Xenopus tropicalis: one gene and its partners. The protein of the gene in region 1 interacts with the protein of each later gene in a pairwise test. Links are inferred from orthologs where the notes say so. Each region holds a gene or a part of one and is shown in the gene's direction. Other genes may lie near its edges. The genes, in order: tcap, ttc19, lamtor5, trim55 and atxn1.

Region 1 (6,807 bases):
GGGCCCCTGGGACAGCAGCCCCAATGGCTTTCCAACACATAGTCCAAAGAGATTTTCAAACATATGTATGAGCCCCTTGAAGAGTTGGTGGGGGGTACACAGGCAATCTTGGTCTGAATGGGCCGAATCAGCAGCTCAAATCTCTCCCTCGGGTGGGGAACCCTGCGGGGGGTTATGGGGGCCCCTGCAGGGGGGGTTAGGGGACGCGGCCGGCGGGGGCACCTGCAGGGCCCTGCACTCCCCTGGCTTAAGCTCATGATGCTTAGCATGCTGGCAGCCATCTTATGAAGGATGTAGTTCTGCAAGAGCACCAAGGTAACCATTCCTGCCCCACAAGTTGGAAACCTGCACTTGTACAAATAATATTAAATAATTTATCCTTGGGGCACAAGTTATCCTTCCTTTACCAGTAAGATCCAGTTAATACTATTTAATAAATAAACAGTAGGAAGAATAACAGACAGTTGGGAAATCCTCAGACTGTAAATGCTTTCACTGGCTGAGCAATCAGAGCTAACTGGCGACTGCATGCCATGTGGTACAAGCCGTGATTGGGAAAATGAATGGTAATGGCCGGGGGAGCTATTAGCAGAGAGTAGGGGTGAGTGACAGATAGGGAGGGTGGCAGTGAGAGCGAATACCCGCTGCGGCTCTCCAGTTGCACTCTGGCACCGACCCCCGGGGGATTAGTAGCACTGAACTTGTTTATTTAACAGAGAGGATTTATCAAGGTCACACCAACCCCTCCACTCGTCAGATCGGCCATAAAAGGAGGAAAAGATAGACACGTAACCCCCCGCCCAAGATCCCGGCTCATGTTCTGTACCACCTGGGCCAATACAATAACAATAGGACATTGGCAGCAAAATCCCAATGCAATTCAGTTAGGATTTGGCTTTATATACTGCAATGGAATTTCCATAACAAGGGAGAGTATAAAGGCCCCCATACATGAGGCGATTTCACTCGTTGTGCGACGAACGATTATATCGACAAATGATCGTATGGCGATCGGGTTTCCATTCGATATGCCATCCACGGGCAACGATAATTTGCAAAAGATTTCATCGTATCATTATCGTAAAATACGTACGATCCAATGTCGTACATCTACGTACGATCGAATGCCGTGGCGGAAGCGGTATTTGTTCATTGTTCGTTGACTTCCGCTGCTGGCAATCATGACATGCGCAGAGAACAATCGTTCGAAGACAAATGTCTGACACTCACACCAACTGGCAGATTTTATCGTTAAACGAACCTGGCCAATCGATTTTGGGGACGATAATGTCGGGTCGATTAGTGGGCCGACAACCGTTCGCACACCATCAACTATACGATAACTTAACGATAGTATCGGATCGTTCGGGAATCGGTCATTTGACAGTAAAAAAATCGGCCCGTGTATGGGGGCCTTAAGGGTCATTTACTCTTAGGGCCAAGACACACGGGGCGATTAGTCACTGCGACTTGTAGCATCAACTAATTGCACCGATTTAGTTGCCATAGATTGATGCACGAGTTGCTGTTTAAAGTGCACGCTTCCTCGCCGGGACTTTTTTAAAAAGTCACAGCAACTAATTGCCCCTAATCGCTAAACTCCGTCTAGCTTACCTCTCTATGCTAGAGGAGCAGAATGGAGTTCTATAGATAGTATAGTGTTAAATAGTGTAATATAGGTGTTGTTAAACTACAACTCCTAGAATCCAGTGAAAAAATTAGAACAATTTTATATATGATATCTTTTGTCTTTTTTCTTAGCTGGGAGCAGGGAGGCAGGGTCTGATGTCACTGGTGGGGCAGTGACATCATAGTGATGGGCCACTGCTGTCACAGGGGTGGGGCTATATGCGACAATCTGCGACAGGTCACAACCCTATGTGGAGGAGCTCACTTATCTGCTGATAGGCCATTTATAAAGTACAAATGGTTAAATGTTTACTGTCAAAATATTAATGCAATGATGGGATCTGTTATCCAGAAGCCTGTTATCCAGAAGGCTCCAAATTACAGGAAGGCCATCTCCCATAGAATGCATTTTAAGAAAGTAACTCCCATTTTTTTCAGTGATGTCCATTTTCTCTGTAATAATAAAACAGTACCTGTACTTGATCCCAACTAAGATATAATTACCCCTTATTGGGGGCAGAACAGCCCTATTGGGTTTATTTAATGGTTAAATGATTCCCTTTTCTCTGTAATAATAAAACAGTACCTGTACTTGATCCCAACTAAGATATAATTACCCCTTATTGGGGGCAGAACAGCCCTATTGGGTTTATTTCATGGTTAAATGATTCCCTTTTCTCTGTAATAATAAAACAGTACCTGTACTTGATCCCAACTAAGATATAATTACCCCTTATTGGGGGCAGAACAGCCCTATTGGGTTTATTTCATGGTTAAATGATTCCCTTTTCTCTGTAATAATAAAACAGTACCTGTACTTGATCCCAACTAAGATATAATTACCCCTTATTGGGGGCAGAACAGCCCTATTGGGTTTATTTAATGGTTAAATGATTCTCTTTTCTCTGTAATAATAAAACAGTACCTGTACTTGATCCCAACTAAGATATAATTACCCCTTATTGGGGGCAGAACAGCCCTATTGGGTTTACTAAGATCAAGTATCAATGGATACAAAACAATCCTGTTGGGTTTAATTAATGTTTTATTGATTTTGTAGTAGGTATGGAGATCCAAATTATGGAAAGACGCCTTATCCAGAATACCCTTGGTCCTGAGCATTCTGGATAATGGGTCCTATACTTGTACTGAGCTTGCCAGCACTCTTTCTATGCCACCCAGCAGGCTATTTACCCAGCCTGGCATTCCCTAATGACAGTTCTGTCCCTAATGGGCTGCCATAAGGAGCTCTTACTGTAACATATGAGCCCTCGCATTTTCCGCTGAGACCGTGTAACCCGGTTATTGATGACAAAGCCTATAGGTATGTATCAAGCTGGGCGGCAGTGAGCAGCTTTCTGGGAAGCCCTGAGTCCCAGCTCTGTTCCATATCTGTCCCCACTGTGACTGTGCGAGGGGCAGCGCTGGGGGGGGGGGGCAGGATGACTCTTTGGGCAGATATAGAGTGTTACAAAACAGAATGAAAATAGACACAGACAAGGGTATATAAATGCGGGGAAGAGCCCTGCCTGGCAGAGCCACACACACAGGGAATCAGAGGGAGAAGCCACAGAGCTAAATCTAGAGAAACATGGTGGGAAAGCCTGGGACCCCCAAGGCCATGGGGAACGTGACTGAGCTGAGCTGCCGAGTGCAAGAGGATAACACGGCCAGGAGGGAGCACTTCTCCGCAGAATGGATAGACACCTCCATGTTCAGCCGACCAGAGGAAAGGTATGAAGGGGAGAATGGGGGGACAAGGGAGCTGGCAGTGGGGAGGGGAGGACAACTGTTACACACATGTGCTCTACCTGTTATTTTATATGCCTTTAGTTGCCCTTTAAACCAACACACACCCTAGTTTAAAGGGAAGCCATACCCCTGGCATCCCCATGTCTCTGTATTTAAAAACACATTAAATTCTCTGTGCTGATTGGTTGCTATGGGTTACTAGACCCAGACTAACCTTTGCTGTATTTATTACATTACCCCCAAGGGATTCCCGGGAACAAATTCCTTGAGGCTCCTAAAAAAAAATCCCATTTGGGTTTATCCTATAGGTTAAAGCTCACCCAATGGGTGAAGCAGAAGCCGGGGTAATAGCTGATCAGATTCCCAACTACAGACCGGTTTTGCCCTTCTTGGGGCTCATCAGTGTAGCGCAGGGTTTTCTGATCAGCTTAGGGAGAGCCAGGAGTGGGGATTCACGGACAAGTCATAAGGGTTGAGGAGACCGCCTCATACATTACCCCCCAAAGTGTTACTTTCGCTGGTTTGTTCTGCTACCCCCCAACTCTTCCTTTCCAAATCTGTCATATTACTGCATGCCCAATGCTGACACCTAAAGACTTGGCACACAGGAATAGGTACCCAAAGGGTTACAGTGTTGCTTGTGGGTATGATAAAGTATTGAGTATTAATCATTTCTTTTGCTCCCCATTTCAGCTGCAATGCCCGTGATGCCAATGTGTGGAGGAGAGAGAGTTTCCGCCAACAGGGACAGACCCGCTTCCTGGTCCAACAGTCTCCCGCACAGGTCATGAAAATGGGTCGCCTTGGCCAGAGACTCACCCAGTACCAGCTGCCCTACCAGAGAATGTTGCCTCTGCCCATCTTCAAGCCAGCAGATCTCAGCACCAAGATGGAACGCATAGCCACCCCGCCCCAGCTGCGCGGCATGATGGAGTTCGAGAGGGCGCTTAGCCACCCAGGCAATGACGGCGTCTGTCCGGATAAGAAGTCGCTCTCCCAGATCACTAAAGAGTTGCCTCCAGTCATGCAACCAGTGAGAATGGAGATGATGAAGCCAGGCCTGGCCCAGTCTTTCACAAGGTCTACGTCCCAAGAAGTCATGAGAGGGTAGAAGAGAGGAGAAGGCGAAGGGTCTAGAGGAGAGTGAAAGGTGTAGAGCAACCACCCAATCCTATCTGCTAGTCATAGATGGCCAGGTTAGAGTGCAGTGTGTGTCTGCATGGTGTCTGCTCTAGAAGGCCCCTACTTTGTATAGCTGGATTATAGGGAAACGGCCAATTGGTTCCCGGCGGCAACCTCTTCGTTGTGTTTGTAAACTGGATAGAATATTCCAGCTTGAGATTATTTGCAGAAGTTTATATGTCTTTTATCTGTAGGTCACAATTTTGGGAATGATATATGGAATGGAAGGTGGCATATGAGTAGGTGCAGGAGCTCGTTGTCCTTAGTGTAGAGTTAGGGGGGAAAAGGTAGTCATTCCCCAAGCCCAGGATGGGAGACAGGGTACTATGGCTGAATTCCCTTTTTACTAGACAACAATGGGTTCCTTGTTGCCCTGGTTTATAGTGCAATGGTTGGTGGCCAATTTAAGAAAGGTTGGAGACCCGGTTGAGCATTTCAGTCTGATCTGATCTAGAAAAGCCGCTTACAGCACTGCCAATAAGCAAGTTACCCGGGGCACTCGGCAGAGAGATTGCAGGTGAATAGTTATAATGAGGGACATAGTTTGTATAAAGCCCCAGGGTGGGGCAATGTAGGCATCAGACCCATAATGGAATGGGCTACAATATACTGTATATCCCCATCCTCTCCTACATGAAATCCAGGTGACTGAACTACCCAATGGCACGGCGGGAGCTGCCATACTTGGGCCATGGTGGCTTCTACACCTTGAGTGATGGGACAAAGAAAAACCCGTTAGGTGAAACGATGGACTGCAGATCCCTCTGCCCTTAATGGGGCTCAGATATGTTTGCACAGTTTTATATGAAAACAGATACATATTTATATTTGTACCTATGTTCTCCTTTGTCTTGGTACTAATTAAGTTCTAATGTTATTTTCTTACGTCTAATAAAATGAATGTTTCAGCCCTTTTTTTATTGTGACGCTTACATTTATATTCACAGTATAATATACACACACAAATACACACACATTGCTAGGTGTGTACACATATATATATATATATATATATATATACATAGTCAAAAGGTACCCTGATCTCAAGGGATCTGGTATTGATATGTATTGAATGTATTGCTTATGCAATGGTTACATAGTTAAGTTGGGTTGAGAAAAGACCAAAGTCCATCAAGTTCAACCATTCCAAGCAAACCCCAGTGCATTTATATACTTAGTATAAGTAAATATAATATATTAATAGTGTGTGCCATGTTTTCCCAACAATAAGAGCACATACAGAATACAACAATAACGAGTATTCCTTCATAGGTATAAACAGATATTAATTGTATCAGCCATATGTGCCACTGATATCGGTTGAAGATACCTGCTTTAAATAAGGACAACTAAGTCAAAGCAAGGTAAGGATCGGTTCTAGGGGTAAATGCATCTATGTTTTTATGAAATGAAGTCCATCCAGGCCCTACAAGGCCCCTAGCTTATGGTAATTGGCTCCAGCCCGTCCTTGTTTCCAACCTAGGCCTATATAATACCTACATCAAGTAGCACTGTGTACCCTTAATTGTTAAGAGGGTGGTCCCTGGATGCCAAGTTCTCTGGTGGGCCCTAGTAGGTCCAGTCTGGCAGTGACACTGTTTAGTCTGTAATACAATCTGAGAAACAATCTTTGTATGCACCTAGGTAGTGGTTTCCAGACCTGCCCAAGCCAAGTTTTGTCCCTGTTAAGGCCCCAACACTTGGCCAGGGCTCCCCTTAGTTTATAACAAGGTGACTGACATATGTAAACATCACTGTATGTGCCATTCAGTCATAGTTCCAAAAATATCTAGGACAGTAAATAAGTTTTCACCCCCATAACACCCTATTGACCTTCAGGCTGGGCTTTCAGGATTATCTAATGTAGTAACAAGGCACGCTTCCCGAATGTCCTGCACTGGCTCAGGGGTCAGCCTCACAGCTTGGTCTTAGAAACGTTTCCCTGGTAAAAAGTTACCTATAGCACCTTTGCATGGCCCCCAAGACCATTATCTAGAGTTGCAGAGCTGCACCGTGGTGTTGGCTGCCATTGTTAGCATGGATCATGGGGATCTCCAAAAAGGAGCATCCACACCTGGCCAGGGCCATGGTTTGGCTTCTAGTGCCTCTATAATGGCAAGGGGAACAGGACAATGTTATGAGGCAGGGTCGGACTGGGGGGAGTAGGGCCCACCGGGGCTCCCGCCCCAGGGGCCCTGTAGGTGCCCTGCCAGCTGCATCCCCTAACCCCCCCACAGTGGCCCC
Region 2 (5,656 bases), on another chromosome or scaffold:
CTTGCTGCCAACTCTTAAACCATGGCTGTCCCAGATCTTCAGATGTCCGGTCTGATCCAGCGGAGACCATAACATAATTTGCTGGCATAAAAATCCATCCATTGCATAACCCACACAAACGGGCAGGGGACCAATGTAACATCATAGCTGATGTGTAGGAATTTGGTAGCAATAAAATTTTGGTAGTATTTGGTAGCAATAAAAAAGCCAATATAAGATGCCTACTTATTAAGGGTGCATTATATTATTATCATACCAATGTATTTATCTTTTCATTTTGTTCTTCCCTCAGCTAAGCATTATGAAAGGGGAAATGGAGGAGGCAGAAGAGATTTTGCATCAGGCCCTAAATATGGCTCACAAGTCTGGCAGCACAAGAGCAATAATCTACACGTATGATCTGGTATGTGTTTTGCACACCTAAATTATAGAGGGGGTATAAACACCACCTGCTAAATGTGTTTTTGGCTCGTTTGTACAATGAATGCATTTATTTCTACAATACAAAGTTATAAAAATTATCTTCTCTGCTCTGTTTGTGCCTGGCAATTAAGTGGCCTTTTAAGACACAGAACATGTGCACAAAGTGAGTTTTAGAACTCATCACTCAGCTGCATGTGAGAAAGGTGAAACGGATCCCCTGCGAAAATGCTGTGCACTTAATATCTGGCCCTTGTGCTATAAATAAATCACAAGCTTTAAAATGTGTGTCTGCCTCTATATATACTTGGCCAAGAGTGCCTGTGATTGGATGGACCCCCTGTCTGTTTAATAAATCAGGCAGTAGATTAACAGTCTAGGCTATGGAAATCCCTGAGACCACGTCAAGGGCAATTATCACAGAAAAATCTTTTCCCCCATCGGGAGGTGAGGGCTAATAGAATCTGCACACAGTTTGGGGGAAACAATACTATTTTGGGCAAAAAAAATTTATCAGCGCTATGCTGTCTGAACCGAGAGGGTGCTCCCAATGGTTGTACCACGGCCAGCCAGGTCTTACCAGGAATTGAAGTTAAGAGACCAAGTAGGAAGCATAGGTTCATGCAGACAGGAATAATTCAGAATGCCGTATCCAAGGGTTAAAAAAACAGAAGAATTTAAAGATCAAGTCAAAATAGCAATTTAGGTGCTCCCAGGAACTTACTAAGTAAGACCTATACTCTGGCATTGAATTTTGGTCTTCAGTGTCCTTGTATTTCAAATTTTGCGCCAAACTGTGACGCCAGTCACATGATGACAGCCAGTGGCACATGATGACACACCGAAGTGCTCATGGTAGGAAGGGTGCTCCCTGTGCAGATGGCCATGTTTGGACTCTAAGCATGCAAATAATGAAAAGAGTCCCAGCTTGTTCATTTATACACTTGTGACGGCAGCATAGCGCACACTACAAACATTTTTTTATCAAAATAGTATTGTTTCCCCCGACTAGAGCACAGGCTTTATTAGCCCACACCTACGATGGGAGAAACTATTTTCCTACAATAAGTTCCCTTTAATCTCATGATGCCTTTTTGTTGTGTGTTAGTTTTAAATCACTGCAAGGGTTGATTTCTGACTCAAAAGTCCCTGTTTGTCAATTCTCAGGGTCTGGATAAACCATTGCTGGGAAGTTTGGAAAAGGGGTTCCCCACCCAACAACAGGTTTTTCGGCATAATAAAAGAAAATCTAATTCTAAGAAACTTTACAGTACATATTATTTCAAGGTTTTCAATCGTTTATAGTTATTTGTAAATGTAATTGCTACTGAATGCATTGTCTGTTCACTCCTTGTTCTGACTCCTGAAACAATATAGCACATCCAGATAATTAAAAGACCTGGAGGAGAACCAAAGAGTCAGAACCAGAGATCAGAAAGGGATAAACAACCCCTGCTTTCAAATGCAAATACATTTGCAAATAACTTTAAAACTATTACAAATCCTTAATGAATCGTGCAAACAAAATATTTTTTTTGGCCCATTTTATGGGGCAGTATCAACTTTCATTTGTGTCTGTGTAATGTTGCAAAATACTTAAAATCTCATTACTTGTGACCCTTAAATGAGAAATAAACGTAAATGCAGATAACGCTCATTAAAGGGATTTTTGATTTGGGTAAAAGTAGAATGAACGCTTTATCTATGCCTTTTATTTTGCTTTCAGATGGCTAACCTCGCTTTACTCACAGGAAAGTTGGATACAGTGAGTATTATACAGTATTATTTAAATCGCCAGCAAATATGTACAGTTAACAATGATGCAAAACAGCGGTTCTCAACCTGTGGGTCGGGACCCCTTTGGGGGTCGAACAACCCTTCCACAAGGGTCGCCTAAGACCATCGGAAATCACATATTTCCGATGATTTTAGGTATAATTTTATGGTTGGGGGTCACCACAACATGAGGAACTGTATTAAAGGGTCACGGCATTAGGAAGGTTGAGAACCACTGATGTAAAAATGAGACACTCCAGCATCAAAAACAAACACTTTTTCCTTTGTTTTCAGGGGTAAAACGGACCTTACAAATTAAGCTCGCTCTTCCCTTTACAAGCAGCTTTGCTTTTGCTCCGATTTTTTTTTCTTTCCCTATAAGTACATAAGTGCATTATAGTTGCATACTTTTAACAAGAACATTTGGCTGATAGCAGGTATCATTTTGTTTTCCTTTCTAGTCTGAAAAGCTTTTCAAGGAAACCTTGATCTTCATGCTTAATGATAACATCCAGCAGGTATATTTTTCTTTTGCCACCTTTGTTGCCTCTATATAATATCCTGTTATTAGGGTAACATTTGGGTATTTTATTGCTCAGGATGACAATGCCTTTATTGAGATTTCCCTCAAGCTGGCCAGTATCTACGCTACACAGAACAAGTAAGTAATACATTAGTTTTATTTGTTCAGTTCCATAAACCTGGATCAACCAATACCACTGACTTTTGAACTATTATGTACTACAGGAAAGAGTTGGCAGTGGCAGGCTACCAGTTCTGTATCTTGAGTCTGGAAGAAAAGCTTGAAAAACAGGCAGGTCTGTTGGAGGGGTCATTGGCTGGTAAGAGCTTAGCTTTGTCGACTTCTTTACTTTTTTGCGAGCAAAGATGTTTCTTGACTGTCACGGATGGAAACAGACCAGCAGGTGGCACTGATGTTTAAACAAAATTCATTCATATTAACAGTACACATTCACATTAAGTCCAGCCCAGGATATGTCTGTGCTAGCTTTGTGGAAAAGTGCACTAACTACTGCGTGGATTTAAGTTTTGCCTCTTCTGTCTACTGAGCAATGCTGTGATTAAGACATTGCTGTCTGTTAGCCATCTGAATGGTGTGGCATATAGAAGTCTGACAAGCTGCAGCCACCAAGACCTATATTGGCACTACTTGCAAGTTTGAGTTTAGCTCACAGATGTAACTGACCAAAAGCAAGGCATGTAGGCCACTGTAAGAATCTGGAAAACAGTGTATCAAAACATTGTCTTTTTTGTGCACCTGAAAATAATGTGATGTTTAGTAAAGTATGCCGTTGATGTGGCTGTGTCTCCCATCAGATTCTAGCTGTGGCCAAAACCGATTGCCCCCATCACAGTAGCCATTAAGGCTACACACAAGAGGTTTTGCTCGCCACTACAGTGTATGTTTATCATAGTAGGTGTCTCTGTTTGTATGTGTTTTACAAATATATAACTATGTAACATACTCAGTATGGGAAAATAGGTTTTAATCATTGCTGCCTTATTTATTTCATTTTATTTTAACAGCTGATGAAAAATCCAACACACGTCTCCTCCTTGGGTTATGCCTGGATTCTTATGGTCGTTACCTGATAAACAATTCATCATTTTCACAGGCGCAAAATATGTATGAAAAAGCATTACGGATTTGCACAGAGGAGCAGGGAACAGAGCACCCTCAGGTACAAATCCTTTGCACTGTAGCACTGTCTTGTGTTGCTCTGTCTGTCTTGCATGTCTCCTGAGCACGCCATGCTTTTCTGCTGGTAGAAAGGCACTTGTGCTGCTAAAGCTTTCAGAAGCCCTGTCTGTCTCGCATGTCTCCTGAGCATGCCATGCTTTTCTGCTGGTAGAAAGGCACTTGTGCTGCTAAAGCTTTCAGAAGCCCCATGACTCTATCTTTTCCTTATAATTTACTTTATCTGATGTACGGCCTAATGTTGGGTTATGAGCATGTGAATATTCATTCCTAGAGTGACACTTACACAAGGTTTCTTTGCAGAATTTAAGCTGATAAAGCAGTAAGTTGTTTATTCTCTTTAAACTTTTTCTGCTAAGCTTGACTTTTTTCTGCTGCTGTGTTGCAGAGTGTTATACTCATGAATGATATTGCAATTGCACTGGAAGCCCTGGGCAAGCACGACGAGGCCTTTGCCATTGTAAATCAAGCATCTGAGCTGGCTCGTAAGACTGAGCACCCTGACCTGCATGTGGTGCTAAGTAACCTGGCTATGATCCTTACTTATCAAGGTAAGAACATTATGATTCTGCAGACTCTGGCCACTGATCCTCGTCTTCAATCCTTATCTGTCATCTACTTTAGAATTGCCATTTTATATATCACGTCTCTTCCTTTTTTTACTTTTTCTATCCCCTTAATTAACAATGCATGGCGGAGAGCTGTCTGTGTGCAGCACTCTCTTAATCAGGGGTCCCCAACCTTTCTTACTCGTGAGCCACAGTCACATGTAAAAAGACTTCGAGAGCAACACAAGCACCATAAAAGTTCATGGAGGAGCCAAATAAGGGCTAAGATTGGCTATTAGGCAGCCTCTATGCACACTATCCGCTTACAGGAGGCTTTATTTGGTAGTAAATCTTGCTTTTATTCAACCTAAACTTGCCACCAAGTCAGGAATTCAAAAATAACTCCCTGGTTTGGGGGCACTGGGAGCAACATCCAAGGGGTTGGGGAGCAATATGTTGCTCCTGAGGGAAGGGAATCACTGCTCTTAATGGTTGCAGTTATATATCTAAATGGAAGATGCCATATTATTATTATTTTATTTAGACTTAGCTAGACATGTGTAATGCACTTGACTTCATGTTGTGCTAATATATTGCTTTACCTAAGGCAGGTAGGTGTTAGGCTAGTGGCATACATGGAGTTTTCTCTGCTAATGTAAAATGGGCCAATCCACTCCCTTTGGCACAAAAATGTATACAGTGGATCTGGCTTTTGAGAGAAAAATGCTCTGTGAGTGCTATGCCGCCTGCACCATAATGGGACCTCTTGCTGTTGGCGGCCATGTTTGGTTACACACATGCACTTAATTAAAGAGCCTCCCGTCTTGTGCATTACTCACACGCGTGTGATGTCACACTCATTTGCATAACGAGCAAACCGGGACACTATTTGGCCACAAACAGCCTTGTGTGCACTCTTCAAGAGAGTCTAATGCTGTCCGCATAGCCACAATATATCTAATAAAGCTCTGTTCTGTCAGTCACGGAGGTTGTCATTTTGCCTCCATAGCATAGCAAGCCCAGCAAGGTTCCACCTCTGGAGTGACTAAATCAGCAGCTAGTTTTAGCCCCTGTATAGCAAATACATAATAATAAAAAAGTAATAAAAAAAAAATGAAAAGCATGCACAAAATGAATTTTCTGTGCATGTTAGCTATAAACTTATAGGGAAAATCCTATTTACATATAAGGT
Region 3 (6,780 bases), on another chromosome or scaffold:
ACCAGCAGCCAATCAAATTTCACCTATTGAATTTTATTGGTTTAATGCCAGGCTTCCCAAACTTTGCACTGTCAGTCACTTGGTGACTACGTATTCAAGTTTTGTATACGTATTTTGTTTTTTTTTAAGTGGGCAGGGTCACCAACAGCCAATCAGATTTTACCTATTGATTTTCAATGGTGAAGTGTAAAATGCAGTCCCACAATTTTTATGTCCCCAAACTTTGCAAAGTTGGTCATTGGAGACTGCAGTTCAAAAATAGCAAAACTGGGTTGGGCCACTAATAGTCAATCACAGTTCATCCATTGAATTTTATTGGTTTCAATTTAAAATGCTGCCATTCTCACACTATTTATGCCAAGGTGCCCACTGTTAGTCACTGGGTGACTTTGACTAAAGGTTAGAAAAAGCGGGCACACCCACCAACCACCATTTACAATTCACCTATTGACTTTTATTGGTTTAAATTTAAACTGCTGCCGTTCTGTAACTATTAATCCTAGGGTCCCTAAACTTTGCAGAGTTAGTCACTGGGTAACTGCAGTTCCAGATTAGAACAAATGGGCAGAGCCACCAACCGCCAATCAGATGTCACTTGTTGACTTTCAGTGGGGAAATTTAAATTGCTGCCATTTAGACACTATTAAAACCAGGGTCTCCAAACTTTGCAGAGTGTTTTTTACTATATAACTGTGGGTCCAAGGTTAGAAAAAGTGGACCAAGTCAACAACATATCAGATTTCATTCAGTGACTTTATGTTTTTCAAACCAACATGAAGTTTATTCTCAAACTTCCCTTTCTAGTTTCAGTCTTGTGAGCGTTAATTTTGTACCTCCAAAAATGAACCACAATCATGTAAAAAAATAAAGATTTCTTAAAGCGAGTTATTAACATTTTGAATGATCAATAATAAATCATCGGCAAGATGATTTAACATGAGAAATGTCAGAAATGTCTTTCCACCGGCAACAGTAGGAGTTACCTGTGGAAAGGCCTACACATAGCTTCAGCTTTCCGAAGTCGCGCAAAGCTTCCTCGTGGGCCATAAGCCTAAACGAAATATAGTAACATTACATTCGTTTGTTTGAGAGCCTCAAAAAAAGCGAAGTAAAGTTGCTCTTAGTAAAATTTTAAGCAATAGCACCATCTGCTGGTTATATCTAGTACTTATGTAATTATATTTCATTTACCTGTGTAATTTCTGTAAAACAGAACATTTAAATTGTTTGTTGCCTTGCTCCTTTTCCACAAACAAATGTTTAAGGTGGCCATACTTAAAGATCCGCTCGCCTTTCGAGGTCCCTTCTCCCGATATCCCCATCAACAGGTGGCGATATCGGGGGAATTTAGGTTAATTCGGTCATTTGGCCCTGGGGAGCCAGTCGGTTGGGGGACCACATCAACGAGCCGATACGGTCGCCGATCCAACTGAATTTTTTAACCTGCCGATCTATATCTGGCAATTTTAGGCCAGCTATCAGTCGGGCAGGCAGTCGTTGCTGCCCCTACACGGGCCGATAAGCTGCCGAATCAGTCCAAGGGACCAATATCCGGCAGCTACAATCAGCCTGTGTATGGCCACCTTTAGTGTTCAAGAGAGAGATAAGCTTGTAGCAGCCTAGAGTATTGTAGTGTTTTACCCTATTACAGCGTGACTGCAATGTGAGCTTATGTAAAGAATGTAACTGTATCTGTGTTTTCCCATATGCTAGTATAGGATGGGTTTTCTCGTAAAATATTGAAAAATCTTGACACTAAGCCGTTTGGGCCCATACCCTTAACTGTGGGAGCATCCTGTTAGAATAAATGCATGCTACTCTATGCAAGGGCACCCTCTCCTGTTTTTTATTGAACAGTCTGGCAAAAACCACCATTTGTGCCGAGTGGCACAAGAATTGAAAGTGAATAGTGATCATTTTTATATGACCCGGACATAAGTCCAATAGCATAACTCTTAGTTTCTCATTCAAAAGACCACTTCTGTCAAGCTTCTGGTTGCACTCTGCACCCTAGGCCTAATAAACAATCCAGCATGAGGTGAGGAATAACATGCAAGTTAAGGATTGGGCAGGTAGTAGTAGGGGGAATTTACATCTGTCCTTGCCCCAGTAGAGCTTTCAGTTCTTACCACATTCACAAACTCTGTGGTTATGTTTATCAATAGCCACTTAACTTAACTAAGGTGAACAAACCCTTTAATATATATTTTAGAAATATTTTATTTCCTTTGATTGAAGCCCACCACATCCATTTGGGAGAAGAAACAACGTCATGTGCAGTAACAAATCTAGAGCTCCATGGAACTGGGTGTAAAATTCACTCTGGACATTAACCCACGTGACACCCAAAGTCAGTTAACCCTCTGTAAACACTAAATTGCAAAAGGAAGTCAAGAAACCAAAATGGACAAGAATCCTACTGTCAGGCCAGTAAAAACAGTAATCAAGAAACCTATTCTCAGAGTATGTTAGCTTTGTATGAAGCATTGTGCATTGTAGCGGAACCACCATTAAGCCAAAGCATATTAATAGTATTTTTCATTCATTGATTTTTCTTAATAGCGCCAGAGCTTCAAATACTGCAAACGAAAACTCCCATTAGCCCCACCTTCTGTCTAACAGTCAGCTGACCGGGAGGGTCACATGAGCAAACACCCGGAAGAGGAACTGCTTTAAGGTTTTTTTGACAGGAAGAAGAGACTCAGCTATGGAAGCGGCTCTGGAGCAGCATTTGGAAGATACGTGAGTGCTCTGTAAACACATACTAAGGAAAATAAAATTAATTGGTTTTTTTCAATTAGTAAAATCAGGACATTTAAAGCGAAAGAACAGAAATAATTCAAACAGACAGAAATGCACTTCAGAACTTGAATTTCGTAACGTGTCTTTAAGTTTGCTGGTAATAGTTCAGATTCTCTTATTTTTAATCATTCCTACATGCGTGATCTCACTCAGGAGAGGAAATCGTGGGGGGAGGAAGCGGTGAACACTGTCACTGTTCATTCGGAGACTGGGGCATCTGGGGGAGGGGGTATAAGCATAAGTGTGAGCTATTAGTTACACAAGGTAACGACCATGTTGTTGCTGTTAGGCGGGTAGGCAGTTGAAGAGGGGATGTAAATTCGGATGCACAGATTAATTGCAAGGAAGTTGTTGGAGGGGTTTACTCGAAAAGCAGAGGAGGCCTTGGAGTTTTTGTTAGGAGGAAGCAGTGCAATATCAGGCATGGAGGTTTGGGGAGTCATGAGTTAACTGCATGTAAATCCTTATTGGGGGTGAGAAGGCTCATGAAACTGTGTAGGTGAATTGGGTGGCAGAGGTGGCCATGCAGTTATGTGTAAGGAAATGGCACAAGTGGCTGGCAGGTAGGTTATGTGAGGAGGATGATGGAGTGGAGTTGTGTAGGTGGGCAAAGTGGCATAACTGAAAGGGATGGGGGCTGTGCATGTTTTGATGGAGTCAGGCATACTGGCTCTTGTGTGGAGCTGAAACGTCGGATTAATAAAAACCATGTAAGATATTGCTAAAAAACTTTTTTGGTGAATATTAACCAAAGTCCTGTGAGTGCTAACCTTTATTGCAATTGTGTGTATATATATATATATATATATATCTGTATTCATTGGTGCGTGCATAGGTGCTCATATATACATGCGTATGTGTGTATGAAAGTGCTTATATATGTGCACATATAGACACATATATAAGTAAATATTTAGGTGCACATGTGTATATATGTGCATCAATATGTGTGTAATTGTATGTGTATATGTGCAACAACACGTGTGTACATATAGGTCTGTAAATAAGTGTATATATAGATGTGTGTTTGTGTCCAAGCAGACACACAACCATGTGGCTTCCTTGTTTGACTCTACACCTGGAATTTTACTTAACAAATACATTCATGGTCTTGATCCTCTGCTAGTGAGTATTTTCTAGTGCATGATCTGTATAGAGGTGTTTAATAAACGGGTTGCACAGATCGATCTGCCCACAGTGCGATCACATATTATTGATTCCTTAACCAAGATTCAACTTTATTTAAACACTTGATTATATTTCTGACTATTTTACTCTAATATTCTGACTTTCACGGTACATCCCTGACATCTAGCTTCATAAAAAGTGTTACTCTTCTTAGACCTTGTGGTTATTCTCTTGTACTTTCTATTTTGTCCATTTAGTATTCTTTTTTTATTGCCTGTCTATATAATTTTTGTTATTATTTATTTTTGATATAATTTTGATCTCTGTCTGGTAACGTAGGATTACGTCATCTCCACTTTTTCCCACCACTGTGTGCTTTTTAGACACTGAGTTTGTTGTATTCACCACTTTGATAAAGGCTAGAGTGCTAGCCGAAATTTTAGTCTCCTATATAATAAAACAACAAGTCCTGCGAGTACTGACACTTCCTCCAGTATATTCAATAATTTTTGGACCTGAGTGAGTGAGTGCCGGCATCTATTTGGAAGTATATATATATTTCTGAGAAAAGTTGTGTTGTTTAATACTGACACAAGAAACATCAGAGACTGACTAATTGTCTAAACTTTGCAACATCATCTTTCTTTTCCCCTGACTATAAGGACAAAATGGCAGCTATGGCCACTCTATCACTTTTTAAATTTGTTTGGTTAATCTATAATAATCTATATCTATAATATCCTATGAACTAGTAGAGATGATATAGCTGAAATAGCTTTCAGATAGGTAACCAGTATTTGTTTGGTATCTTGACACAAGTGTTTTGCCGTTCCTTACTTTTTCAGAATGAAAAATCCATCAATTGTTGGAGTTCTGTGTACAGATTCACAGGGGCTAAGTCTGGGATGTGAGTACCCTTTTACATTGGTTTTGTGTATAATATTGAAAATTGATGTAAATTGCAAAAGTACTCTGAGGAACACTCTGAGTAAGGTTAACAAATTCATTTTTAGGCTTAATTCAAATAAACAGCTGTGGAAATCCTTCCCAGAAGAGTAGAGGCTATTATAGCAGCAAACGGAGGAACAGCTTTATATTAATTACGTTGCTCTGAGAATTACCTTTGACCATTTGGTGTAGCTGCTGAACTTCCAATATTTGTCTTATGTGAAGGCTCCCTCTCCCTTTTATGGAGATTGCTATCTGTTACTCTGCAGCCAAAGTAATCTGTGAAAGAGTCAGTAGAAACAAACAGACTCTTGCATGGGGGTACTGACCCCTTTGGTAAACCCTGTTAAGTAACACAATAGGTTTTTAATCCATTGGTCACCTGGGCTGAAGGCACCATGGCCTGCACACACACAACCATGCCCCTGATCCCCTCATCATGCTTCATTAGTCCAAAACCCTGCCTACTCCATGCAAGCCCCACCCTACTTGTGTTTTTAATTCTCTTGGGGCCCCTGACAGCAGCAGACAATATATGCCAAAAGCCAAGAACAGAAGCTTCTGTACCTGCGTTGCTGAGTCTTTGTGCTCCCACCACAAAATACTCGTGATCACAAGGTTCACTTTCCCTCTGAAATCAGCAGTGGCTTAGCACTTGCAAACCTGTCCTTGAGGCTGCCTTTTTTAAAAAAAAAAAAAAAAAAAAAACAAACTTTTTTTTGGAGGTGTAGGGTAGGTTTGGGTAGGCTAATGAAAATTCTCTCATGACAATAAGCTCCACTGGGACAGACTGAAGTGAATGATATGTTAGTGCTATACATATATAAAGGGTAACATATTTTAGTGGAAAAATGTATCCAGAATATGAACAATTTAGTAAATCCTGAAAAAGTAAAGATTCTTCTCCTTAAGCCAAGTGTTGCCTTTCCATGCCCTAGTCTCTGTAGATATTTGAAAGAACCATTGCAGTGTCATGACCATGCAGTGTCATGAGACCTATACACTACAGTAGTAGGATGTAATAAGAGCCAATTACTTGAGGTGTACCATTGGTTAGCATGCATTCCTATTTAATTGTCTGTATTTTAAGATGCTTATATTTTAGAAGGTTACACTTTCTTCTTTCTAAAATGCATTATTAATGTGATTGTATTAAGTGCTTCATGTTCCACTTCTCCAGGAACTAAAACAATGCACTATAGTATTTCTACTGCTGCTCACTTGTTTTTTCAACCCCAAATCTGTCCCCCAAACTTTTAGTGGTTGAGTATTAAAAAAAAAAAAATATATATTATTTTTCTTGAAGGTTGTGGAAGCCTTTCCGATAAACATGCTGGTGTGATCTCCATTCTTCCTCAGTATGCAGCCAAACTTACGTCAGACCCCACAGATGTGCCAGTTGTATGCCTAGAATCTGACAACGGGTGAGGCCATTTTCATACAGTTAGAGAATCCAGAATATATATCTACAGGACAATAATTAAGCCATTACTTGTTTTCTTTTTGTTGTTACTTAGGTAAGTTGGGTTGCAAAAAGACCATCAAGCTCAACCCTTCCAAGTGAAGCCTAGTGCACACACATAGACCCATACTGACCTATCTATATACTTACATACATAAACTATATATACCAACATCAATACTAACTGTAGATTTTAGTATCACAATAGCCTTGGATACTATGCTTGTTCAAGACCTCATCCAGGCCCCTCTTAAAGACATTAACAGAATCTGCCATTACATCATCACTAGGAAGGGCATTCCACAACCTCACTGTAAAAAAAAAACAAAAACACCTAAGCACCTAAATGAAAGTTCCCTTCCTCTAATCTAAAGGGGTGGCCTCTAGTGCAGTGCACTGATCGTTTTGGGGTTATGGGAAAAAAACAATACCACCAATCA
Region 4 (6,090 bases), on another chromosome or scaffold:
CTTTTTTAAAAACAAAAATAGTCATAGCCTCCTGTGAAACTGCTAGTAAAGTTGTAATAGAGAGAAATAGCAAGCCCATATTCTGTATTTTGGGTTGTCTCTGTGAATTGGTGCCCAAAATGTGCTCGGTAATAAACATGAGAAACTGCTTTATGAAGAAGCTGAATTTTATCTTTCTCTTTGATGTCTTTTTACTTCCATTTAACCAGATCCAGTTATAAGTCTTTTATTGCCTAAATTCACAACTGCATTTGTCTACAATGACTACTCATCTGCCACTTGGACATCTAAATAGCCAGTCTTTCTGTCTGCTGCAAAAAGTCACATAACTGCTTGAAATTCTGTGCTTCCGACCAACAATCTCTAACTCCTTGTCGCTGACAAACAAGTTAACTAAATGTGTCCCCCAAAAAAGAATCCTGAACAGAGCTTATTTATATAATTGCATTAAATATAATTTGCAGGGAAAGTTACATTTCTTAATACTTGGGAGACCTAGATCACCTTTCAAAAATCTAATTTTCTCAAATCTTGGAGGATTTCCTTGGGAATAGGCACCTCTGATTTTTACCAGTTCTACCAGGATTATGTAGGGACCTATAAGGCTAACAATCCCTATAGCTTTGAACCCTACACTTATTTATTTTACTGGTTCTGGGCAGAGATCCATGTAACAGATTTAACATATTATTAATAGGAAAGGGGTGGATCTTTCTCTTTGGCATCTGTTGAACCAGGTGGATTTTCCACTGAGCCTGGTATCAACATGGCCCCAGTAAAGCCATCATACCCCAGAGGGATCCATTACCTTTGGAGAAGTCAGGGCAGGGACCCCATGAACGAGGATTAGCTGGGGCAGGATAGATTTATATAATAGCACTTTCTAGTACGTCAGCTTTAGTTATAAAGAGCAGCGTTCTGGCTCCAACCAGGAGAACAGCAGGAGTAGCCTCCTTTACAGGCTCTGCTGCCTTAGTGTAGGGACTACACAGGGGAGCGCAGTACTGACAAGGGTATCAGGCATAGTCTTCTTTGCTATAGGGGATCAGGTCAATTAAGGTGGAAACCCTAAGGATATACTGTAAATCTACTTAACTCAGCTGATTCTCCATAGTGGTGCATCATTTGTTACTGCTGCATCTTGTGTATCTGCATACCTGCCATTTCATCTGCATTTGTGAGTATTGATAACCCTGCATTGCCTTGATTGTCTTGCACAATAAACCAATTCTGTTTGAGTGTGCTGAAAAAGAACAACTAGCATCCTTCTTTTACGTCGCTATTACATCTGGCAGTGGAAGGTGTAGATCAACAACACCATCCATAACAAACCTTCCACATAGCGAAAGGCCCATCCAGTTTGTTAGAGTCCAGTATACCCCATGCTCTAACCAATCACCAGCTGGACTTTATTACATCCAAAAAGGGGTTACAATTATTTATGAAGGTGATACACACAGATTATGAACATGATCTGATTTAGCCATTCACTGGGGTTTATTGTCTAACCAATTTCCCCATTGAGGCAAGGAATATTCTCCTGCCATTCGGTATTTATGCATTTAAGGGCATCTTGCCAATTAATTAATATAATAGTCAAGCAAAGAAGAGTGAGACATTTTTAGCTTTGTAGCCTTGAGTTTGGCCTCTAGTTCTCTGTCTAGGAGGAGGGACAGAGAATTGCCCTTTACACACTTGGCTAAACTCGGGCATCAAAAGAGCTTAAAGTTTAAAAAGAAAAGACGTCATTATTACAAGCTGCAATTAAAACATTCATAATATACAGTAATTGTCCCTGTTTAGTAGAAGATACCTTTTCTATGAGTTTATTCTATGGCCCTTGCACCTAGTGGATGTTAGAGCATTTGTTGATGAGAGGAATGTAATAAAGAGAAGCCGCACCTCTAAGGTTCCTATATCAAAACTGCAGTGTTGCTGACCGCTAGCGATGAGCACATTTTTTTAACTGGTATTTATTTGTGTCTGAATTTGTGCAAGTAGCAACAATTTTTGCAAATTTGTGTTAGAATTTCACCAGGAGTTTTATTTCATCTCATTGACTTCAAAGCATTTTGGTGTGAGAAAATTCTTGAGAAAAAACAGCAACTCATTTCAATCCATTTGGAAAACTCAACAAAAAAAACGCCCATTAATTCCAATGTATTTTGACTGCAATGCATTTGGCTTGATAAAAAAGCATTTTGTGCAAGAAAATGCCTATTGGCTCCAGTGCATACATTTTGCAATTAAGTGTATTTTTCAGCGGTTTTGCAAATTTTGTGGCTATCATTATTAATGACCTCCACTAGGAGTACAGCAACGTCACACAGAATAATAGTAAATAGTCGCACATACATTAAACTACAAAGTGGAATTTACAGGGGATGGGTACTCTCATTTCCTAAAATGTGATTGTGACACTTTAAGGCAGATTTATCAAAATGTGAGATTAGAGCTCTCCATAGAAAATGTACCCACTTTCTATTCATTCCTATGGGATTTTTAGAAGCATATTTATCAATCAGTGAAAGTTAGGGCTGTGACACACAGGGAGATTAGTCGCCAGCGGCAAGGGAGATTTGTCGCGCGGCGACTAATCTCCCCATGTGTCACGGTTCTTAGAGTTCACCATTTGATAAATATGCTTCTAAATACCCATAGGAATGAAAATATCTTTTTCTGTGGTGAGCTCTAATCTCACAGTTTGATAAATCTGCCCTACATTGTTTGGTATGTATTTAAATATAATTTTTAGCAGTTACAGTCTTACAGTTTTGTATTATTATTATTATTGTAAATATTGCATTGTGGGTCTTTATTATCTGTATAAAGGAAAACCAAATAATATTACTAGTAATTCACTTGGAAGTTTCAAAATATTCATAACGCACCATTTTTCTGCTGTATATATATATATATTGATATTGATAGATATTGGATACAGAATGGGAACGTTAGAAGGCACTCTATTAAAACCATTTTATTTAACTAACAAGGCACATTGAAGCTTTTGGTTTAGGTAATTGTGACTAGGTACATGGCAAAGCAATATACTGTGTGAGCTTTCAGAAAGACTGCGTTTCCTCATTCATGCCAGAAGATAACTGTTCCTTTTTTACTTTATCTGTTCAGATAAAGGGGGAGGTTGAGCCAAGTGATATCCAACAGGCCTCTGAGTCTAACGCTCAAGTGCTGTCAGCAGCAGAACCCACCGATCCCTTGCTTTATCCTAGTTGGTATAAGGGCCAAGCACAGCAAGATTCCAGCGCAGACAAAGTCGAGTTGAGTGATGCTCTGGGTCCCGTAGGTCAATCAGTTACTAAGGAAATTACTGTAAAGGATGATCTTTCATCAGTAACTCTTAAAGAAAGTTTGGCAGTGGCTGGTAAGGACACCAGCTCATCTGCAGAAATCCCAAAGGTCAGTGATTGTCTCCACGTTGCAATTGTTTGACAGTGTAACATAGGTACAAACCTTTTAGAAAGAATAGATAAGCTTCCTATACTGCACAGAACATTTGCTTGTAAATAAATATGTTTGATTAGCTCTCAGGCTTACTTTTGCAAAGATTCTCAAGATTAAAGGAGAACTAAAGCCTAGCTATACACCCAGTAGCTCCCCATTCTCTTTTCTACTGATTCACATTCTCTGTGCTGTTGTCACTTATCTGCTCTTAGGTAGTGACGCACAATATACTGTATATTCAGAATATAAATGTAACAATATAGCAGTTATATCTAGTATAAATAAATTTGAAGCAACTGGACTTGCTAAGTAATCATTGAAGACGTTTCACTACTCATCCGAGCAGCTTCTTCAGTTCAACTGACTGGTATGGGAAGTCCCATACCTGTTTGAAGAGTTGCATGATACTTTGGTAATCCTTTCAAAGTAACTCCACAGCATTCACACCTCTGTGAGTTTCAGATGTCACCTTTTTGAAGAGTTACATAGTGCCATTGTGATTGGATTAGTGGAAAAGTATATATGCTGAGGACTTCCCATACCAGTCAGTTGAACTGAAGAAGCTGCTCGGATGAGTAGTGAAACGTCTTCAATGATTACCAAACAAGTCCAGTTGCTTCAAATTTATTTATACTAGATATACCATGACCTGGATGAATGAAAATCTTCATATAAATATAGCAGTTAATACAGATAATTACTACATGGCAGCTCAGACAACTGTGCATTGGTAATAATGAACCCTACAGCATCAGCTTATATTACAGGCCAAGCTTTTCTCTGCTTGATAATTTACAAAGACCCCTAAGCCCAACTTCTCAACAGCTGCCAAGCATGTGAGCATGTGAATGTCACTGACACTTTCCAAGATGGGGAGCTCATGTGACAAGTTTCAAGTTCTGGATCATTGCTTCTATAGAGATGCTGAAACTTTAGGCTGATGCAGCAAGTTCAGTATAAAAAACATGGCATTTGTAGCCATATACATTTTTTAGGGTTTAGTTCTCCTTTAATTTATCTTTCTACTTCCTGCTGTGTCTTGCCTTGGGTGTATTACAGACCAACCAATAACAAAATGAGGCCACAAACTTAACAAGGCAATTTGTTATGGCAACTATTAATGTTCCTTTAAGAATGTAAGGTCTTCCCCGCCAAATGCATATTAAAATAGCATGTCTGTACCTTTAGAACCTTGTTTCTCTTATTGTAAAGTAACATTTAGGTGCTCTAGTTTGTCCCTCTGCCTCAGCCCCTGATGTCACATGTCTGAACTAATGCATATAAGGCTAAAATGCTTGCCTCTAAGCAGAAGCTCTCTGCCTGAACAGATGCATTTCTATGCTTACTGTTATATCTGACACATTTAAGTTAAGAACTATGTGGCGAAAAGTATCTGGACATCTGTCTGTGCAACATCTTTTTCCCCAACCAAGGGTATTAATTTGCAGTTGGTTCCCCTTTGGCTGTCATAGCAGCCTAGTCATTGGGTCCTGGAACATTATTACACAATATACTGCACAATACAAACAATATGTCATGACAATATTCACAAATTAGAATTCAGCCATTTCATAGTAAAAATGATATTGAATATCTACAAGTGATGAGACTTCCGGACACACTCAACTTATCCAACATTAATCAGCAGCAAGCCCAAGTGGAAGCCAGAAATAGCCTTACCATGATGTCAAGAATAGAACTGCTTTATCAGGGGGCTATTTAAAACCCCTTATCCTTTTACATTTCTAGTTTCTCTATGGAGAAGGGCCAAGTGAAGCCTTGCAGTGTTTCAATGCTGGCATTTTGTCAATCACCAGGTTTATAAAACCGTAATACATTTTCTTTCTTCAAAACAGTTGCAAGAGAATGTGTTGTAAAACAAGACATGCCCTTTAAATAGCAAATACGTGACTGGGATACCGGCACACACAAACCTGCAGCCCAGCAAATATTCCCTGGCAGCAGAGAGAATGGAAGGGTTTCAGCCCTGTTCATCTACAAACAGGGGGGAGAAAGAGATACAATATCATTTTTCCTTTATATATATTACATTTTTGTTACAAATGTTCCCTCTTCTTTAATGTTCCTTTCTTCTTGGCTGTGTGTGCAGAAAATTTCTTTTGCACACTGTGTGCACACTTTAAATAAACTGGTGTGCGCAGTACAAAAGTATGTGTTTTCACCTAAAATTCTTTGTGTCCATCACAATTTATTGTGTGCTGGTCTCAAAATTTGTGTGCACGAGTGCACAGCTTAGAGGGAACATTGTGTGTTACTACCTAAATAGGTATATTGTTATAGTATAATAGGAGCAATATGCAAATGGTTCCATTCTTCCTACTGTTTGAAATAAAAAAAATATACAATTACCATTATTTGCTAATGGTTTGTTATTGTCTTTGATTTTTCTTTCTGTACATCCAATTTTTGCACATCCGCACTTTGTGTGGCCATGCCCATTTTCAAACATTTATTACAACATTTCTTGGCAATCTTCCATAATAAGAGAGAATGCTCAGCCACCACACACAGAGTTATATTAATCTACAGTATATGAACCCATATGCTCTTACACAATGATAAGCTTTGGGATACAGGACATACTTTGTGACCTGCCACATTTTA
Region 5 (6,090 bases), on another chromosome or scaffold:
CATATGCCCAGTTCTCACATGTTACGTTATGTTCTTTGTCCTGTCTACCCAGTGCTTGCCCAGTACCTTGTTTGTCCATTTTACATTGAAGAAGGAACTTTTCCTACCTCAGCGTTTTTGGAAGGTTTGAATGGCATTAAAATATAACTTTTTTTACCAAAACAGCAAGTCTTACTAAAAGTATCAGTATCACATTTCAATGACTGACTACATTCTACACAGGTACCAAACATATATATAATTTTTCTCATTTTGGAGACTAAGCTGGAAAACGTTATGTTGAAAAAATCATCAAAATTCATGTCACACAGTATGTAATTTTTTTTTTATACACAGAATATGTAAAAAAAAACAATTGCTCTAAATAGAAATCCATCTAAATGTGTCCAAAATGATGGGGCAGATTTCATTGTGAAACCACAGAAAAATTCACCCACTTTCTTTGCACTCATATGGGATTTTTAAAAGTTTATTTATCAAGTGTTAACCTCTAACTTTGACCCATTAATAAATAAATATGAATGAATAGAAAGTGGAAGTGAGCTCTAATCTCATATTTTGACAAATCTGCTTCTAAAAGAGTTTTCCTATTTCAAATGCTGTTCTAGTTATAGTGATTTATAAGTAGTGCCCGTAATTTGTATTTTTTAGTCAGTTAAAGTCACTTATAAGCACAATACTTTATCAGCTTAGGTAAAATAGGGAAATTAACGTTAATATAAGTAATAATTCATTGATGTTCTAGGTATTTGTCTAAATTGGGAAAAAACAATACTTTATATTCGTTAGATAATAAATGGTCAAGTTATTTGAAGCACTGCTTAAAGAAAGACAGATTTTTGACTTCTTACATATATCTTAAAAGAAGTTGTTTATGATGTATTTATTCTCTGTCATTATTAGTACAAAATACACTGGGCTGTGTTTTTTTATACCCCACCGTTACCCACATCCCAACCTACCCTTATGTAAAGCCTTTTTACAATCAGACACCCTTACTGGAGTTATTGGAGCTTTATTTGCGCTAGGCATGCCGCACAATAAAGTAAAACAAAACAAGGTGCCATCCTTTAGCCCAGACTGACCTAGAAAACAAACTAATTGTTTACCTGTTTCCTAGGTTCTATTCTTGACTTTTTATTAACTGCTAAATGTAGTTGAAGGCAAAGGAAACCGACTCTTTCCCAAACCCCATGTGCCTGGTGTTAAAAAAAACCACTTTTGTGGCCCAACAGCTGGTCTGCCTACATGTCTCCTAAAATATTTTTTGTAAAGGATAATTGTTACTCTGAATTAATGTGTGACTCCTTAGAACAGCCCTCTACTGCTTCTGAGACACTAAAGACACCTATAGAGCTTTTTATATGGGGGTAGTAAAACCATGACCGTTTAACCTCTTGCCTTACCAGCCCTATAAAATTGTGTTATAAATGATTCTTGAATTTGTGCCATAGGTCATGTATAATGTTATAATATGTTATATTGCAACCAAGAAAATCTAGACAAATAGAAATCTTGATAAAATATATTTCAAAATATAAAGTTTATACTAAGTTAAGAAAAACTATTCTGCAAAAAAAAAAAAACAATAATGAGATTTAATGACAGTTCTGCTAGGAGGAGTCCCAAGTGTATATCATGCAGACCAAAGAGCTAGCTTAAACCAGCAGTGCACTTAAAAGCACCTTACTACTTCTTTGAATTCTGCAGACTTCTGTATTATTCATATTCAATTCATTGCCTGTGGTAAGATCATAAATCATTTGCGTTGCCCAGCAGGACTCTTCAGTAGACTGAAATGACTTTAACGTAGTAAATTAAAACCTATGTAATTCTGCTAAGTCACAGGAACAGTGCTTGCATTCTCTGGATTACTTATTAAGTCTACCTTAGAGGTATTAAAAGCTCATTTATATCTACATGTTTGTCAAATGAACATTCAAAACTAACTATATTTAAGACCAGAAACAGGTGAATGATGAGCCCCTCTGTGATATAGTTTTGCAGAGGCTATGTATAGGCTCGGGGTGGAGGTATATCAGCTCCCAAGCACTGTCATGTCACAGTTGATGTCTTGCCTAGACTGATTAGAGATGATGGTTCTTGGCATATCCCTATGCAATACCATAGCCAATTATAGAAATGAGTTGTCTTAGCCACCATGATTCAAACGCACTATAATGGGCAGTGTTTTGAAATTATTCTGGCAGCGTTATATATATATATCTTTATGCTATCTGTCACATAGGCCTTGCAAAGAACCCTTTGTGCTAGGAAAAAATAGTAAATTTTTTTTGGTAATTAATAGAGCAGTCTATGGGGACTTTTTAATTTTTTAATTCTTTGGTTAGACGCTAGTGATGCTTAAGAATGTGTTCCTTTACATACATATCATATACCGGTAGGTCTAATTTACATGTATTTACAGATCATAGTGGGATCTGACTAATCAGATCTAATAATATTCTACGATGGGGCATATTTATTATAGTGTATAAGCCAACATTACTGGTGATGTTCCCCATAGCAACCAGTAAGCAATTAGATTTAAACAGTCACCTACAAATTAGAAAACAAAAGTAAAGATCTGTTGCTATGGTTCTGTTGCTATGGTTAACATCACCGGTGATGTTGGCTTATGCACTAAATATGCCTTTTTACTGTCTGACAAAAGTTGTGATATGTTCCAACACAACCCTGACTGAATGTGTCAGATTATTAGATACTATTGCCATGCTAACAGTTAGACCCCTTAAGTCAGTCCAATAGGTTGCACCATATTTACTACAAAAAGTGTGATAATGGCACATGTGTTACAGCAAGCTCTGGCATATTAAAGCAAGAGAGGACATGTAATTCCTCTGAAATCACTGGGTTTTAATTAAGCTGGCCATATATGCACCGATAATTCGGTATTCGGTGCGTGTATGGCTGCTCCAAGAGGCAACCGATATCGCAAAAGGCTGCGGATGCACATTGCATCACCCAATCAAATGGGGTTTAAACAGGAGCAAGAAGGGGGCTCCATACTTTTGTTCAGCAGCAGCACCAAGTGCTATCACCCGTCTGAATTCTTGCGTCCTCATGCAAATTGCATATGGGGAAAAATCATTCCAACATTTCTGCAAAATGATTTATTAAAGCTTTGATTTGTTAAAATCTTACTGAAATTGACCAAAATGTTATAAATCACCCCATAGGTTTAGGAGCATTTTATTGCTGTTAGTTCTCCTTTAAAAAAAATGGGAAGCCTGTGATACTGCTGAACTGTTGCTAATGATTTCAGGTATTAAATAAAGAATACACTTGACAGCAAATTGCAGGGCTTAGAGGCAGATATTCTCAATTTTGCAGTGAGAAAAATAACACAGGATTTTCATCAGTTTTCTCCTTGAAGAGCAAAGTCTTTCCCTCACAGTTGTTTTCTCAATCACATTAACACACACCTCCACAGATCTAATAACAGTCAGCACTTTGCTCTGGAGTGATACTTCTCTTAATACAAAATGGTTCTCCCATCACCTTGCCCCAATTTTCTTCATGTTCTTTGCCTTCGGCTGTCAGGGAATAATAGGAGTTGACGTGCCACCAAAACATGGAAGGCTGCCGGATACATTTTTTTGATAAAAAGCTACCCAAGTACGAAGAACATGCTCTTAAATTAACAGATATATAACGATAAAATATGAAAATCTTTAAATATTCTGGCAATACAGATAATACTGTGAGTACATACATTCTCAGTACAAAGTAGCCCTTGCACAAGCAATAAAGTATAGAGATTATTTGTCCATATAACTCTTATTGCTGCTTATTGAATCATTATCTTATTGCTAGAGTCCCACTTACCCTAGGGTAGGGGAATTATTATGATAAACAGAGTATATGGGTCTGTGACATCAGTGGTGTTTTGTTTTGTTTGTTTGGCCATACCCCAGATAATGCCAGCTCATTGGTTATACCCCCAATTTATTTCTTATATAGCAGTGGATGTAGAACCTTTGTTGCAGCTGGTTATGCTACAGTTGTCTTGGTGTCCTTTAATGTTTCCTTTTTCTATTTATTGTATGTAGATTTCACATCAACTGTTGGAAGATTGTGCTCCAAGGGAGATGATTCCTCATGAAGTCATTGGGATCTCTAACAGATTTAAATGCGACTTTCCATTCACCAGACTGAAATCAGCGTCAGTCAGACAGTGAGCAAGCAGTGGTGGTTGGCGGGGGTGGCAGAGAGCAAAACATGAAATCTAACCAAGAACGAAGCAATGAAAGCCTGCCACCAAAGAAACGTGAAATACCCGCCACCAGTCGACCTTCTGAAGAGAAGACCGTTGGACTGACAAATGAAAACCACCGCACAAATAGCTTATCATGGCTCCCATCCAAGCCCAGCAGTGACCTTGGTGCACGTCATCATGGGCCTCCAGGAACTTCAACAGAAACTGGTTTACAAAAGGGAGGAAGTTTACATAAATCACTTTCTACGAGTATGGACTATTCTCCCACTAGTACTACAAGATCGGTACCAGTTGCAACAACAGTTCCTGCCAATTACCAAACTGCTCAGTCTCTGTCAGGGGCATCTATGTCTCCTGTGCAATATGCTAATGTGCCCCAAACTTACCAGTTTATTGGGCCACCATATAGTGGACCATCATATGCAGGATTCATAAATTCACAGCTTATTTCACCTACATCAAATTCTGGATCCAGTGCAGTGTCCTCCATGCCAGTAGGTGTTACAACTCCAACCCAGCGGTCCCAGGTGGAGGCTTTTTCCAGTATGCTGGCCAATACAAACAGCCTAAGTCAGCAGGGACATAAAATAGAACCACATCTAGATCGGACACCAGGATTAATTACTGCAGGTTCACCTACTCAGCCAAGTCAATATGTCCATCTTTCCAGCTCATCCCAGAGCACAGTCAGAACTCTCTCACCACCTGTTCATTTACCTACTCACTCTACAGTGATTCCGAATACACTTACACTAGGTGCACCTTCCCAGGTGGTCGTGCAGTACTCAGATTCAGGAGCTCATTTTATTGCTAGGGACCCTGCAAAGAAGGAAGACAATTACAGGTCACAGACCAAGGAGTTATTGAATGGAGAAATAGAGAAAGTTCGAAGATTTGGAGTCCATTGTACTGCAGATGCACAGTTAATGAAAGCAGGCAATAATAAACCAGCTTCCCAACATTATGAGACAAGACATGTGGTGGTGCACCCTAGTACTGATTATAGTACTCGGGATCCCTCAGGAGTTCGGACCTCAGTCATGGTAGTGCCTAACAGCAACACAACTGCCACAGACATGGATGTCTCACAAACTATTAAGAGAGAAACCTCACCTTTAGCAGCTCATAACAGGGGAAGCATACATTTAGGAAAGCAAACCCATCGGCCCTATGTTTTATCCCCACAGCAAACATTATGCCCAGAAGTAGTAAAAACTGTGGCTACATTATCTCCTCACACTGTCATCCAGACAACTCACAGTGCAGCAGAACAACTTTCTGTTGGTTTGCCTGCTGCTTTTTATGCGGGTACACAACAGCCAGTTATTGGCTATCTCAGCAGTCAGCAGCAAACCATTGGCTACCCTGGAAATTTGCCACAACACTTGGTGTTCCCTGGAACCCAGCCCTTACTTATACCTGTTGGCAATCCAGACATGGAATCATCTAGGGTTGGGGTTACACCTGGTATTGTGACGTCATCTCCCCAGTTTGCAGCAGTGCCTCATACATTTGTCACTACGCCCATTCCAAAAGGTGAAAACTACAGTGCTGAAACACTGGCAACTCAAACTGCCTACCAGGCTGCATTGGTCCCAGCTCAAATCCACCTCCCTGTTGTACAGTCTGTTGCTTCTCATATGGCAACTGCCCCTACACTGCCCCCTTACTTTATGAAAGGGTCAATCATACAGCTGGCCAATGGTGAGCTAAAGAAAGTAGAGGATTTAAAAACAGATGACTTCATACAAAGTGCAGATATTAGCAACGACTTGAAAATAGACTCCAGCACAGTGGAGAGAATTGAGAGCAGCCATAGTCCAGGCATAGCTGTGGTGCAGTTTGCTGTG

The links.
Region 2: the proteins of tcap (region 1) and ttc19 interact in binary tests that used the Homo sapiens proteins (3 or more experiments, as listed by UniProt). The link is inferred for Xenopus tropicalis from reciprocal best matches to the Homo sapiens genes TCAP and TTC19.
Region 3: the proteins of tcap (region 1) and lamtor5 interact in binary tests that used the Homo sapiens proteins (3 or more experiments, as listed by UniProt). The link is inferred for Xenopus tropicalis from reciprocal best matches to the Homo sapiens genes TCAP and LAMTOR5.
Region 4: the proteins of tcap (region 1) and trim55 interact in a two-hybrid assay, tested with the Homo sapiens proteins (2 studies listed by BioGRID and IntAct). The link is inferred for Xenopus tropicalis from reciprocal best matches to the Homo sapiens genes TCAP and TRIM55.
Region 5: the proteins of tcap (region 1) and atxn1 interact in binary tests that used the Homo sapiens proteins (3 or more experiments, as listed by UniProt). The link is inferred for Xenopus tropicalis from reciprocal best matches to the Homo sapiens genes TCAP and ATXN1.

The regions. Positions count from the first base shown.
Region 1 is NC_030686.2:9,927,993-9,934,799, reverse strand, and holds tcap (telethonin), read left to right. Parts: upstream 1-3,140; 5' UTR 3,141-3,220; coding exon 3,221-3,363; intron 3,364-4,074; coding exon 4,075-4,492; 3' UTR 4,493-5,479; downstream 5,480-6,807. UniProt on the Homo sapiens protein: Muscle assembly regulating factor. Mediates the antiparallel assembly of titin (TTN) molecules at the sarcomeric Z-disk.
Region 2 is NC_030678.2:29,745,998-29,751,653, forward strand, and holds part of ttc19 (tetratricopeptide repeat protein 19, mitochondrial), read left to right. Parts: intron 1-292; coding exon 293-403; intron 404-2,146; coding exon 2,147-2,185; intron 2,186-2,657; coding exon 2,658-2,714; intron 2,715-2,795; coding exon 2,796-2,857; intron 2,858-2,943; coding exon 2,944-3,038; intron 3,039-3,744; coding exon 3,745-3,899; intron 3,900-4,304; coding exon 4,305-4,467; intron 4,468-5,656. UniProt on the Homo sapiens protein: Required for the preservation of the structural and functional integrity of mitochondrial respiratory complex III by allowing the physiological turnover of the Rieske protein UQCRFS1.
Region 3 is NC_030678.2:72,304,853-72,311,632, reverse strand, and holds the start of lamtor5 (ragulator complex protein LAMTOR5), read left to right. Parts: upstream 1-2,615; 5' UTR 2,616-2,707; coding exon 2,708-2,742; intron 2,743-3,094; exon of another isoform or gene 3,095-3,262; intron 3,263-3,292; exon of another isoform or gene 3,293-3,333; coding exon of another isoform or gene 3,334-3,365; intron 3,366-4,775; coding exon 4,776-4,837; intron 4,838-6,184; coding exon 6,185-6,302; intron 6,303-6,780. UniProt on the Homo sapiens protein: As part of the Ragulator complex it is involved in amino acid sensing and activation of mTORC1, a signaling complex promoting cell growth in response to growth factors, energy levels, and amino acids.
Region 4 is NC_030682.2:118,769,022-118,775,111, forward strand, and holds part of trim55 (tripartite motif-containing protein 55), read left to right. Parts: intron 1-209; coding exon of another isoform or gene 210-221; exon of another isoform or gene 222-1,254; intron 1,255-3,132; coding exon 3,133-3,420; intron 3,421-5,321; coding exon of another isoform or gene 5,322-5,342; exon of another isoform or gene 5,343-5,837; intron 5,838-6,090. UniProt on the Homo sapiens protein: E3 ubiquitin ligase that plays an important role in regulating cardiac development and contractility, muscle growth, metabolism, and fiber-type differentiation.
Region 5 is NC_030682.2:93,424,147-93,430,236, forward strand, and holds part of atxn1 (ataxin-1), read left to right. Parts: intron 1-4,073; 5' UTR 4,074-4,242; coding exon 4,243-6,090. UniProt on the Homo sapiens protein: Chromatin-binding factor that repress Notch signaling in the absence of Notch intracellular domain by acting as a CBF1 corepressor. Binds to the HEY promoter and might assist, along with NCOR2, RBPJ-mediated repression. Binds RNA in vitro.